2 separate regions of the Mus musculus genome follow, and region 1 is reported to be linked to region 2. The links are microRNA targets in miRTarBase. Many come from high-throughput screens and were not tested one by one. Region 2 holds a microRNA gene; the other region holds the end of a gene's coding sequence.

Evidence for each region. The annotated mature microRNA mmu-miR-466c-5p reads UGAUGUGUGUGUGCAUGUACAUAU and lies in region 2 at 2,367-2,390, shown strand. An mRNA with a match to its seed (bases 2 to 7 or 8) in the 3' UTR can be bound and repressed. Matches are read on the target gene's strand: a 7mer-m8 pairs with bases 2 to 8, a 7mer-A1 pairs with bases 2 to 7 and ends in A, and an 8mer does both.
Region 1: miRTarBase lists Fam107a as a target of mmu-miR-466c-5p. Seed matches in the 3' UTR shown: 7mer-m8 at 4,453-4,459.

The regions. Positions count from the first base shown.
Region 1 is chr14:8,294,269-8,301,612 of GRCm38, reverse strand. It overlaps Fam107a (family with sequence similarity 107, member A), which reads left to right. Exons shown (of 4, transcript NM_183187.4): 2 at 380-554; 3 at 1,947-2,103; 4 at 2,816-5,343. The coding sequence starts at 385. The coding sequence ends at 2,923. Among named protein-coding and RNA genes, the nearest start is that of Fam107a, 12 kb to the left of the region's middle.
Region 2 is chr2:10,479,178-10,486,521 of GRCm38, forward strand. Mir466c-1 (microRNA 466c-1) reads left to right here and starts at 2,357; the gene lies at 2,357-2,440. All of the region lies in intron 10 of Sfmbt2 (Scm-like with four mbt domains 2), which reads left to right. Mir467b (microRNA 467b) reads left to right here and starts at 2,071; the gene lies at 2,071-2,143. Mir669a-5 (microRNA 669a-5) reads left to right here and starts at 2,584; the gene lies at 2,584-2,670. It also overlaps Mir669a-4, Mir467a-3, Mir466c-2, Mir669a-6, Mir467a-4 and Mir466b-4.

The DNA.
Region 1 (7,344 bases), not on the chromosome of region 2:
CCCAGCACACAGCAACATGCCAGGCTTTTCCCTGGGTGCTGGGAATCTAACTCAGGTCATTATGTTCACATTGCAGACTCTTTGCTGATTGAAACATCTCCCCAGTCCCGTGACAGCTACTGTGAGCCTTGGTCTCTATTCACTTCTGAACCCCACCTCCCAGAGAACATCATCTCCAATAATCACAACAAGCTTTTTCCCCTTGGTGGAGTGACCGTTTCCCACAATAGAGAGGCAGAAAGCAAGACTTGCATTATCAGGTAGCTAACCCAAATTGCTCAGAAGCCACTGTCTGTGTGAGAAAGCCCCCACTAAGCTGCACCTCAAAGGGTGGGCTGGAATGTGGGACGTGAAGTAACGTTACTTCCCATTACTACAGCCTCCATGTACTCAGAGATCCAGAGGGAGCGGGCTGACATCGAGGGACTCATGGCCAGACCAGAGTACAGAGAGTGGAACTCAGAGCTCATCAAACCCAAGAAGCTGCTGAACCCTGTGAAGGCTTCTCGGAGCCATCAGGAGCTGCACCGTGAGCTGCTTATGAACCACAAAAGGTAGGGTGGCATCCAGCTGGCTGGCTTAGAAAAATGCTTCTTAGAGGGGCTGACCTAGCCATTGCCTGGAACCCCAACAGGGTCACCAGAAGAAACTGTGTGAACCTGAAAGCCCTACCCATTTGCTGTGTGCTTAGATGCCCTACTGTGTGCAGGGCACCATGCCCACACCTAAGATACAAAAGACGGAGACCCAGTTTCTGCCCTCCCCAGGGGAAAAGAAAGTTGCTGGAAGCTTTAAGTGAATGTGGGACCCCAGAGGGGCTACTGGGATAGGGGGACTATCTATATGACATCATGGAAGAGAGGATATCTAGAAGGCCTAAAGCAGGGGCAAGAGCCAACCCTGCTGAGAGATGGGTCGTGTTGGCAGAGAAAACTGGAGAGAGAGCACATAAATATTGTAGAGGGTTCAGGTAGTGATGGCTCTTTCTCAGCCACACCCTCTGTTGGGGGAGAGCATGGCAGTGAAACACAAGAGTCGGGGGTGGGGGGAATGGGCTATGACACATCTGTGATCAGCAATCACAGGATGTCAAGTGTAGGAGAGGGTGGCTGAGGGGCCCTTGAGAGGCTAGAGGCTAGAGGCCGAAGCTTATGGTACCTTCATGGCGCCCTCTGCCGGCTGGTTGTTGTATTGGAGCTGGACGTGATTTCCATTCTAAGTCATGCGACAGATACCGCTGGCACATGGAGCTGATTTTGGGTTTGTTTTCTACTAATATTATAATATTGTCATGTTCTCAGTTGTTTTTGCGATAATCATTCATTTCAGTATCAAAAGTACCACCACGATGGAAAACAGCTTCAGGCAAACTGAAATATTTGCAATATAAATAAATTCTATTGAAAATTACATATACAGTATGAAATATTCATATATTCGTGTACCTTAGTCTACCAGGAAAGGGTAAGCAAAATGAGTGGGATTCATATGCAAATGGGAAAATGTGAATGCTAGAAACACTTTAAAGTTCATTACATGTGACTGGTAATTAAGGAAACATGAAAACCAGGCATTGTTTTTTGTCTCCTAGACTTAAAAGAGTTGGCTTGTAAAATGGGGGTAAATATATATTTTTGTAAGGAAATTAAATCCCATGAGATTTTAAGAGAGCGAAGGCCAGCATTTCCGCCATCAGAAGCTCTAGTAAAATATCCAGCAACCATGTGATACCTGGTCTCTGTCTGCAGCCGGGTCTGAAATTCTCACTCACCTGTTGTACTGCACCTGCCCTGCTGTGTTGTGGGAGGGGGGCCTCTTTGCCTTTCTATATAGCACGGGGCAGTGAGATCGCCCCCTTCCGGTGTTTCCCAAACGCTCTAAGAGATAATACAGGGACTGTGTCCCAGGCTAGGAAAGAGTCTCCTCACTGTTCTCCTTACCCGCAGGGGCTTGGGTATGGACAGCAAGCCTGAGCTGCAGCGAGTTCTAGAGCACCGTCGCAGGAATCAGCTGATCAAAAAGAAGGAGGAGGAGCTAGAGGCCAAGCGGATGCAGTGCCCCTTCAAGCAGGAGCTGCTGAGGCGGCAGCAGAGACTGAACCAGGTGGGTGGGAAGCGTCCAGCTTCCGTCTGAGCCTCCTCCAAGAGGAAGGTCAGCATGGGACCTAGAATCTACCTCTGCCCTGCTGTGTTACTCTAGTCCAGTGGCATCACTTCTCTGACCCTCAGCTTTCCTGTAAGGTCTATATCCTGGAAGATAGATCTGCTCCCCGAAATGCCCTGAGAGCAGGTGGCATTTCTATTTCATAGGTGGGAGGGTCTGGGGCCAGAGGAAGATGTGATTTGAACCAGTAAACAGAGACATCTGGGTTCTTGTGTTTTGGGAAGGCTGGCTGGGGACATGGATAGTGACAGAGATGAGGTACATTAAGGGAGAGGAAAGCACTCTCCAGAATGGATATGGGCTACAAGATCAAAACCTGGGGCTGCCAGCAGCCTGACCCTTGAGAGGTCATTTGCACATCACCTCTCCCCATATTCGGAGATGGTGGGATTTCCTCTTGGGTACTGTTTTGATAATGTTTCCTGAAGTGAGGGTAGGGGGTTTTTTGTTCATGTTAATCTTTATGACCCTCTTTCAAGTGTATACTTGCCTGATACATACCCCAGCTTTGGGGTGGTTTGTAAAACCCAACCCAGGCTTTCCCCATTGACAGGACCCTTGGTCCAATACCATGGCTTTTGAGAATAGAAACTCTACCCCCACCTCCAGAACCAACCCTGCCAAATTCACTCCTTGTGTTTCTCCGCTTCAGCTGGAAAACCCACCACAGAGAGACGAGGACCACGCCCCTGAGTTCATCAAAGTCCGGGAAAACCTACGCAGAATCACCACACTGACCAGCGAGGAAAGAGCACTGTAGAGCTCCCTCCATCCAGCTCCTGCCACTTACTCTGGCCCAGCCCTCCTCCAGCCAGTCTGAACCTGAGGACCCTAGCCCACAATGCTGCCAGCAAGGCACACCTGAAAGGCCAGCTATTCCTGGGAAGCTGGAGACACACACACACACACACACACACACACACACACACACACACACACACAGAGGAAGGTCTCTGGACTTTTCTTTCTGAGCACCTAGCCTTCTTGCACCAGAGAGGAAGCCACTGCCAGGAAAGACCTCCAGAGGTGCCATCCCCGATCAGACTCACTGATATTTCCCTAGCAGAAGTGAGGAAGAGGGCCAAGTGTCCCTCCATTCTGCCTCAGTTGCCCAATAAGGCCTATTTCTTGGAGCAGCTCAGCTCCTAGTGTTGGGAACAGCTCAACTCTGGCTTAGCCTGAGGCCAAGGACACCTGTTTTAGAAATCACAGGGCAAGCAAAGAAGGCACCAGATGTTTGTAGCAAGGAAGGGCATGGGAGGCGACAGCAGGCTGTGGTCAGGTGGGAAGGGTCCCAAGCAAAGCAGCTTTCGGTCTTGCCAGCTTGCCTCAGAGTTTGGCTTTTATTGCTCCTCCCCACTGCCCTCCCTAAATTACTAACCACACCTCACCTCAGAGCTCTGGCTTCCAGCCTAGATCAGCACATTGCCAAGTTTACTGTATACACAAATCAGAGAATCTTGTGAACAGTCCCTGGAAGCTACATGTCTAACACACTCCCGGAGGTGGTCCTGGACGTGGGTTGGAACATATAGTTAGGCTGACGCACCCAAGAGTGGTATATTAAAAATAGCCAACTCTCTTGGCTCCCTGGCCTGAAGGTTCCCAGTGCCTCCTCTGAAGCCCCCAAATTCTTCATTCACTATCCATAGTGTTCCCACCACACACACACACACACAGAATTCCTTGGCCTGGTCAGGGGATTGTAACTGCCAATCTTTATTTCTTACTGGTATAAAAACACTATCATACAATTCTAGCCAAAAAGAAGGGGGAAAGAACCTTAGCTTTCTACAGCTTTTTGGAAAGCAACTATACAATGATTTCCTATGGAACAATATATATGCTATTTTGAAGACCCCACTGCCATGGTGATGGAATAAACTCTTAGGTCAATATTGCCAGCACTGTTACCTGAGACCCTGCCCCTCCTTCCCCCCAGTCTGGGTCTTCCCCACCCATTCTTCTTCCTCAGAAGCCCCTTCCTCCCTCTGTTACACCCGAATTACTTGAATCTTTTGCTCCTATGCCATTTTTGAAGATCTACAGAGTACGCCAGGCCGAAATTCTTTCACCTGAAGAATGAAATCCATAATTCACCTTCGCAGGTGGGAAGAGCACTTCCAGACAAGCAGAAGTTCTCACTCCCCAGAGCACAGATTTCCCTGCTGGGGCACCAGGGGCTCTGCCTCCTGGAAATGATGGTGGGATGGCCAGCAGGGTCTGACAGTGAATGGAGATTCTATCTCTTCCTTATGGATGTTACCTGCATAGATGTGTAACACACACACACATCGTGTGTGTGTGTGTATGTGTGTGTGTGTGTGTGTGTGTGTGTGTGTGTTCTAACTCTAAAGTTCTAAGGCAGTGCTTCTCAACTTTCCTAATGCAACCCTTTAACATAGTTTCTCATGTTGTGGTGACCCCCTCAACCATAAATTATTTTCATTGCTTTTTCATGACTAATTTTACTACTATTAAACACCATAATGTAAATATCTGATATGCAGGATATCTGATGTGTGGCCTCCCACCCCCATGAAGGGGTCACAACCCACAGGTTGAGAAACACTGGTAAATACAGTGAACCTGTCTTAAGTATCTGCTGGTGAGGTTTTATGCTGAAGATGTGTTTCCTAAATAAAGAAAGGGTTGGGGGTTGTCACCTTACAGGTACATGTGTTGTTCTGACATGTAATGAGGAGTAGGACAGGACGTCTGGGATAGAGTAGGACCACCCAAGGGACTTAGCAGTCCCCAGGGAAATGGCAAATCATGGAGAGACCTCAAGGCAGGTCATCCAGAGGAACCATAGTAGCTACCTTGATACTCTGTGACTCTGTTAGTCCCAATTCCGTCTCTCTCGCTGCTTCCCACCAGAGATTGTAGGCCTAGCCTCCTCTGCACATTTGGGTGAGCATGTGACCAGGTATGGCCAATGAAATTGAAGTGGAAGTCTATAGGAGCTACTAGAAAAGCCCATGCCTTTTCTGAGAGCCTTGCTTTGTTTCTTCCTTCTTGATTGAGGATGCAATGCCTGGACCATTAGCAACCATGTTTTACCTAAAGAAAAGGCCAAAAGATCCATAAACCCTATGATCATCTGACCAAGCAAGTGCCAACAGCTCTCCATCTCCAGAACCCTTGTAAATAAAAATAAATTCCTGTTTGGTAAAGCCATTGTAAGTCTGTTTCTTATCTTTCCCAACTGACACAAAGGGCCAGCCTTGCCTGCCTGTCCAGAAATCCCTGTAAGTGATGCTAAAATGTTGGATCCCTATTTTCCAACAGAAACCTGCTGGAACAGGTTCCTCACTTCGGGGCTTTAACCCTCTTCTGAACACCCTCTAATGTCATCTACCTGACTCCAGCCAGTGAACTGGCACTCATCACTGACTCAGGTACCAGGAAGCATGTCATGTGTTGCCGGGAAAGATGCTGCCTTTCCCTGGACCACTGCTGAGGTTTCATCCCCACTGCTGCCTTTGCCCACGTGCTTCCTTAACAGAGCTCCCAGACTGTTCGCTTACAGTTTTAAGTAGATCTTGCCATCCTTCAAAGAGCCTTCTGTTGGCTCACGGGGGAGTCCTCCAAGCAGTCCGGAAGGCTCTATGTGTCCAGTTCCCTCTTTACCCTGACTTCCACTCTTACAGTCTGACCAAGCCCTCTCAGTCAGTCAACAGGTTCTCCACAGCAGGAGCGGGGACTGAAAAGAAAGAGACAATTAGACAACACTGCAGCATGACCTCAGTCAATTCTGAGACCGAAGGCAGGTTTATTTTTTCCCAATCCGCATGTAGTTTTAATTACATGTTAGTAATTACAATAAACAGGAATCATCAAGGAACAAGCAAGGCAGTAAGCAAAGTCCCATGATCACTCCCATGATCACTGTTTCTAAGAGTTTATCAGGATGACCAAAATATCTGAGTCTACTTCCCCATCCAAGACCAAATTCAGATTCTTGCCTGAAGCCTAATTCTTTGTTCTACCCTAAAATTAGATTCCTGCCTGAGCTTCTTCCTGATCATGGCCCAAGGTCAGATTCCTGCCTGAAGCCCATTTCCTTGTCCTTAGCCAAGGTCAGATTCCTGTCAAGTGGCCCCAAAAGCTCCCCTCAGCAGCCAGCCTTGATGCACATATGTTGCTGACCAGGAACAGGCTTTCCTCAGAAGCCACCCAGCACACACCTCCATTCTCTTCAAGGTCTCACCACACACACACACACACACACACACACACACACACACACTCGTTCAATAAAAGGCCCCAGATAAGTTGTTGACATCTACATCCTACTAAAGGAGGTGAGCATGAGCCATCCCAACATGCACCAAAATGGCTCCTGCTGGTCGTTAGGAATCCCTGCAGGAATGAGTCCCAGGTGTACGCCCAAGCACACAGCCTCAGGACCACTATGAAAGCAGCCCAGCACAGAATCATAAACTTACTTAAAACATGAGATTTTTTTTTCTTGAGGGAGATTTATTTTCTTGTAATCTATGATTTCTCCATCGTAAACTGCAGATGATAACAACATCATGGCACAATGTCCAAAAGGTTGGACCTCTCAGACAACTTCAGAAAGGGCCATCCAGCGGTGTTTTCCTACATGCAGCAAGTCATAAAGCTTCCATAGGAAGGAGTGTTTTCTCCACACAACACCAAATGGCCTTGTCACAAGACACCAGCACCGAGGCTGTCCTGAGCCTGAATGAATAACTTCTTTTCTACCTGCTTTTATGGGCTTCTAGATATCCTCTATTGGCATCTCTAGAATTTACTGCCCCAGTACAGAGATCTGGGTTGCCCCAGGATTTACAGGTTACTGTATTTGTAAAACATCTAAAAACATCATGTTTGGTCATGCCTTCACACTTTGTGCATACTCACATTCATGTAAAGGCATTTTCTCTTTTTAGTCAGCCTTGTATTAACTCCAACCTCTCCTCCGCTCTCACTGAAATTCCAATCAGCTGGCCATGTGTTTGCTGTAGCCACAGGAATCCAGGGACTTTCAAATATGTGTGACTAAGGCCAGAAGCACAGATTCAGGTTACCCCCAAACCCTGTGTACCCCAGAGGAACTGATTCTTTTAAGCAGAAGGAAGTAGATTTACCTTAATGGGCCTAAGCAAAGCCCAGATAGTTCCACTTTCACACAGTGACTTAGATCCCAGG
Region 2 (7,344 bases):
ACACATGGGAATGGCACTCATCAATCCATTTGAGTGATAAGTGACTTAGAGTGAAAATGCTTGCTAGAGTTAAGGGTATCAGGAGTTCAAATTCATACTTATCCTCATGAGAGATCAGCCTGTGATTCCTCCATGTATGTGCATGTGTGTATAGTTGTGTGTGCATGTTCATGTCTATATTTGAATATACATAACATACACACACACGTATAAACGCAAGCACACATACACAGACACAGGAATGGCATTCGCCAATCCCTTTGAATGATAAGTGATGTAGAGTTTTAGCGATTATGCAATAGGGGACATTGAATGGTCTCACCCACCAGGTGTAAAAGATTGACAAAGTCAGGAGGATAAGGATTGCAAATTCATGCTTAATTCAGTTAGAGATCATCCTGGTATTCATGTGAGGCCACCCATGTATGTGCATGTGTGTTTACTTGTATATGCATTGCCTCTGTTGACATGATATACAAAATATAAACACACGTGTATATGCAAGTACAGACACAGAGAAAAAAATTGCATTCATTTATACGTTTGAATGATATGTGACTTAAAGTTTTAGATTATGCAGTTTGGGACAGTGAATGGTTTTACTCACCAGGTGTGAAAGATTGTGGATCAGGAGTTCAAATTCATGCTTTACTTCATGATGACTTTAAGATATGCCTGGGATTCATGTGATGCCCCTATGTATCCCTATCTGTATCTGTTTCTATTGTGTGTGGATTTGAGTATATGGATGTACCTATCTACACAAATATATACATGTACACAGACACAAACAGAAACACACACACAAACATCAGTGCAACTCATCGATCCATTTGAATGACGTGTGACTTAGAGTTTTAAGATTCCTCAGTACTGAATGGGGAGAGGTCTCACTCAGCAGGTGAAATCCCTTGACAGAGTCAGGTGGATCAGGAGTTCAAATTTGTGCTGAATTTCATGATGAGTTCATGACCAGCATGGGATTCATCTTATGCCCATCAAAAATTTGCATGTGTGTATAGTTGTGTGCATATTCACTTCTCTATATGAATATGCATATACACACATGCACACACATTCATAGGAATGGCCAGAGCTATGTCTCAGTTAGGAGGTGAGTACTCTTGCCAGTGTCAGGAGGATGAGGAATTCAAATTTATGTTTAACTTCATGATGAGTTAGAGTTCAGTATGCGATTCATGTGATGCCCACCAAGAATGTGCATGTGTGTATAGTTGTGTATATATTCACTTCTGTATATGAATATGCATATACTCACATGCAAACATATTCCCACGAATGGCCCGAGCTATGACTCAGTTAGGAGGTGAATACTCTTGCCAGCATCATGAGGATGAGTAGTTCAAATTCATGTTTAACTTTATGATGAGTTAGAGATCAGCCCGGAATTCATGTGATTTTCCCTGTGTTTGTGTTTATGTGTATAGGGAAGTATGCCTGTACATGCGCGTATATGAACATGCATATATATATATGTATATATATGTATATATGTATACACACACACACACACAACTAGGGACACATACATGTGCACACAAACACACATGGCAGTCATCCATTTGATTTATGCGTGCTTTGAGTTTCATTGAGTGTATATTCATGGTATAGGGAAAAATCTCACTTATCAAATGAAAACCACTTGCCAGAGTTAGGAGTCTCAGGAGTTCAAATTCATGCTTAACTTCATAATGAGTTAGAGATCACCCTGTATTTGTGTGATGGATCCTAGGTATGCAAAAGTGCATATAATTGTGTGTGCACGTACATGTGTGTATATGATCATACATATAAATACACACACATATAAAATGTATTCACACACACAGGCATGCACACTCACACACATAAGAATGACACTCATTGATCCATTTGAATGATATATGTCTTAGAATTTTGCTGATTATAAAGTAGAGGGATAGTGAAGGTCTCACTCACCAGGTGTAAACAATTGGCAGTGTCAGGAGGATCAGGAGTTCAATTTCATGCTTAACTTCATGAGCAGTTAGAGATCATCCTGGAATAATGTGATGGCCCCTTTGTATGTGCCCGTGTGCGTAAGTGCCTGCATGTATATGCGTGTATATTTTATGCATATACATACACACACCAACACACACATGCACACAGACATGCGGGAATGTCCCTCACGGATCCATTTGAATGATATGTGACCTACTGCTTTGGAGGTTATGTATGACTGGGCCAGGGTGAGGTCTCACAAACCACGGGAAAACCCTTGATAGAGTCAGGAAGATCAGGAGTGCAAGTTCATGGTAAAGGCATGATGAGTTAGAGGTCATCCTGGCATTCATGTGATTGCCCCTATGTATGTGTATATGTGTTGATGTGTGTGTGCATGTACATATGTGAATATGATATACATATACATACACGCACACATAAGACACATATGAGCACACAGACACAGGGGAATGGCACTCATCAATCCATTTGAGTGATAAGTGACTTAGAGTGAAAATGCTTGCTAGAGTTAAGAGTATCAGGAGTTCAAATTTACACTTATCCTCATGAGAGATCAGCCTGTGATTCCTCCATGTATGTGCATGTGTGTATAGTTGTGTGTGCATGTTCATGTCTATATTTGAATATACATAACATACACACACACGTATAAACGCAAGCACACATACACAGACACAGGAATGGCATTCGCCAATCCCTTAGAATGATAAGTGATGTAGAGTTTTAGAGATTATGCAATAGGGGACATTGAATGACCTCACCCACCAGGTGTAAAAGATTGACAAAGTCAGGAGGATAAGGATTGCAAATTCATGCTTAATTCAGTTAGAGGTCATCCTGGTATTCATATGAGGCCACCCATGTATGTGCATGTGTGTTTACTTGTATATGCATTGCCTCTGTTGACATGATATTCAAAATATAAACACACGTGTATATGCAAGTACAGACACAGAGAAAAAAATTGCATTCATTTATACGTTTGAATGATATGTGACTTAAAGTTTTAGATTATGCAGTTTGGGACAGTGAATGGTTTTACTCACCAGGTGTGACAGATTGTGGATCAGGAGTTCAAATTCATGCTTTACTTCATGATGACTTTAAGATATGCCTGGGATTCATGTGATGCCCCCTATGTATCTCTATCTGTATCTGTTTCTATTGTGTGTGGATTTGAGTATATGGATGTACCTATCTACACAAATATATACATGTACACAGACACAAACAGAAACACACACACAAACATCAGTGCAACTCATCGATCCATTTGAATGACGTGTGACTTAGAGTTTTAAGATTCCTCAGTACTGAATGGGGAGAGGTCTCACTCAGCAGGTGAAGTCCCTTCACAGAGTCAGGTTGATCAGGAGTTCAAATTTGTGCTGAATTTCATGATGAGTTCATGACCAGCATGGGATTCATCTTATGCCCACCAAAAATTTGCATGTGTGTATAGTTGTGTGCATATTCACTTCTCTATATGAATATGCATATACACACATGCACACACATTCATAGGAATGGCCAGAGCTATGTCTCAGTTAGGAGGTGAGTACTCTTGCCAGTGTCAGGAGGATGAGGAATTCAAATTTATGTTTAACTTCATGATGAGTTAGAGTTCAGTATGCGATTCATGTGATGCCCACCAGAATGTGCATGTGTGTATAGTTGTGTACATATTCACTTCTGTATATGAATATGCATATACTCACATGCAAACATACTCCCTCGAATGGCCTGAGCTATGACACAGTTAGGAGGTGAATACTCTTGCCAGCATCATGAGGATGAGTAGTTCAAATTCATGTTTAACTTTATGATGAGTTAGAGATCAGCCCGGAATTCATGTGATTTTCCCTGTGTTTGTGTTTATGTGTATAGGGAAGTATGCCTGTACATGCGCGTATATGAACATGCATATATATATATATATATATATATGTATACACACCCACACAACTAGGGACACATACATGTGCACACAAACACACATGGCAGTCATCCATTTGATTTATACGTGCTTATAATTTCATTGAGTGTATATTCATGGTATAGGGAATAATCTCACTTATCAGATGAAAACCACTTGCCAGAGTTAGGAGTCTCAGGAGTTCAAATTCATGCTTAACTTCATAATGAGTTAGAGATCACCCTGTATTTGTGTGATGGATCCTAGGTATGCACAAGTGCATATAATTGTGTGTGCACGTACATGTGTGTATATGATCATACATATAAATACACACACATACAAATGTATTCACACACACAGGCGTGCACACTCACACACATAAGAATGACACTCATTGATCCATTTGAATGATATATGTCTTAGAATTTTGCTGATTATAAAGTAGAGGGACAGTGAAGGTCTCACTCACCAGGTGTAAATAATTGGCAGTGTCAGGAGGATCAGGAGTTCAATTTCATGCTTAACTTCATGAGCAGTTAGAGATCATCCTGGAATAATGTGATGGCCCCTATGTATGTGCCCGTGTGCGTAAGTGCCTGCATGTATATGCGTGTATATTTTATGCATATACATACACACACCTACACACACATGCACACAGACATGCGGAAATGGCCTTCACGGATCCATTTGAATGATATGTGACCTACTGCTTTGGAGGTTATGTATGACTGGGCCAGGGTGAGGTCTCACAAACCACGGGAAAACCCTTGGTAGAGTCGGGAAGATCAGGAGTGCAAGTTCATAGTAAAGGCATGATGAGTTAGAGGTCATCCTGGCATTCATGTGATTGCCCCTACGTATGTGTATATGTGTTGATGTGTGTGTGCATGTACATATGTGAATATGATATACATATACATACACGCACACATAAGACACATATGAGCACACAGACACAGGGGAATGGCACTCGTCAATCCATTTGAATGATAAGTGACTTAGAGTGAAAATGCTTGCTAGAGTTAAGAGTATCAGGAGTTCAAATTTACACTTATCCTCATGAGAGATCAGCCTGTGATTCCTCCATGTATGTGCATGTGTGTATAGTTGTGTGTGCATGTTCATGTCTATATTTGAATATACATAACATACACACACACGTATAAACGCAAGCACACATACACAGACACAGGAATGGCATTCGCCAATCCCTTTGAATGATAAGTGATGTAGAGTTTTAGAGATTATGCAATAGGGGACATTGAATGGACTCACTCACCAGGTGTAAAAGATTGACAAAGTCAGGAGGATAAGGATTGCAAATTCAAGCTTAACTTCATTTGGAGATCATCTTGGTATTAATGTCATGCAACCCATGTATGTGCATGTGTGCTTACTTGTATGTGCATTGTATGTGTTGACATGATATACATAACATAAACACACGTGTTTATGCAAGCACACACACACAGGAAAAAATTGCATTCATTTATACGTTTGAATGACATGTGACTCAAAGTTTTCAAGATTATGAAGTAGTGGGACAGTGAAAGGTTTTACTCATCAGGTGTGAAAGATTGTGGATCAGGAGTTCTAATTCATGCTTTACTTCATGATGACTTAGAGATATGCCTGGGATTCATGTGATGTCCCCTATGTATCCCTATCTGTATCTGTTTCTATTGTGTGTGGATTTGAGTATATGGATGTACCTATCTACACAAATATGTACATGTACACAGACACAAACAGAAACACACACAAAAACATCAGTGCAACTCATCGATCCATTTGAATGACATGTGACTTAGAGTTTTAAGATTTTTCAGTACTGAATGGGGAGAGGTCTCACTCAGTAGGTGAAATCCCTTGACAGAGTCAGGTGGATCAGGAGTTCAAGTTCGTGCTGAATTTCATGATGAGTTCATGATCAGCATGGGATTCATATTATGCCCACCAAAATGTACATGTGTGTATAGTTGTGTGCATATTCACTTCTCTATATGAATATGCATATACACACATGCACACACATTCATAGGAATGGCCAGAGCTATGTCTCAGTTAGGAGGTGAGCACTCTTGCCAGTGTCAGGAGGATGAGGAGTTCAAATTCATGTTTAACTTCATGATGAGTTAGAGTTCAGCATGCGATTCATGTGATGCCCACCAAGAATGTGCATGTGTGTATAGTTGTGTACATATTCACTTCTGTATATGAATATGCATATACTCACATGCAAACATACTCCCACGAATGGCCCGTGCTATGACTCAGTTAGGAGGTGAATACTCTTGCCAGCATCATGAGGATGAGCAGTTCAAATTCATGTTTAACTTTATGATGAGTTAGAGATCAGCCCGGAATTCATGTGATTTTCCCTGTGTTTGTGTTTATGTGTATAGGGAAGTATGCCTGTACATGCGCGTATATGAACATGCATATATATATATATATATATATATATATATATATATATATATATATATACACCCACACAACTAGGGACACATTCATGTGCACACAAACACACATGGCAGTCATCCATTTGATTTATACGTGCTTAGAGTTTCATTGAGTGTATATTCATGGTATAGGGAATAATGTCACTTATCAGATGAAAACCACTTGCCAGAGTTAAAAGTCTCAGGAGTTCAAATTCATGCTAACTTCATAATGAGTTAGAGATCACCCTGTATTTGTGTGATGGATCCTAGGTATGCACAAGTGCATATAATTGTGTGTGCACGTACATGTGTGTATATGATCATACATATAAATACACACACATACAAATGTATTCACACACACAGGCATGCACACTCACACACATAAGAATGACACTCATTGATCCATTTGAATGATTTATGTCTTAGAATTTTGCTGATTATAAAGTAGAGGGACAGTGAATATTCTCACTCACCAGGTGTAAACAATTGTCAGTGTCAGGAGGATCAGGAGTTCAATTTCATGCTTAACTTCATGAGCAGTTAGAGATCATCCTGGAATAATGTGATGGCCCCTATGTATGTGCCTGTGTGCGTAAGTGCCTGCATGTATATGCGTGTATATTTTATGCATATACATACACACACCTACACACACATGCACACAGACATGCGGGAATGGCCCTCACGGATCCATTTGAATGAAATGTGACCTACTGCTTTGGAGGTTATGTATGACTGGGCCAGGGTGAGGTCTCACAAACCACAGGAAAACCCTTGGTAGATTCGAGAAGATCAGGAGTGCAAGTTCATGGTAAAGGCATGATGAGTTAGAGGTCATCCTGGCATTCATGTGATTGCCCCTATGTATGTGTGTATGTGTTGATGTGTGTGTACATGTACATGTGTGAATATGATATACATATACATACACGCACACATAAGACACATATGAGCACACAGACACAT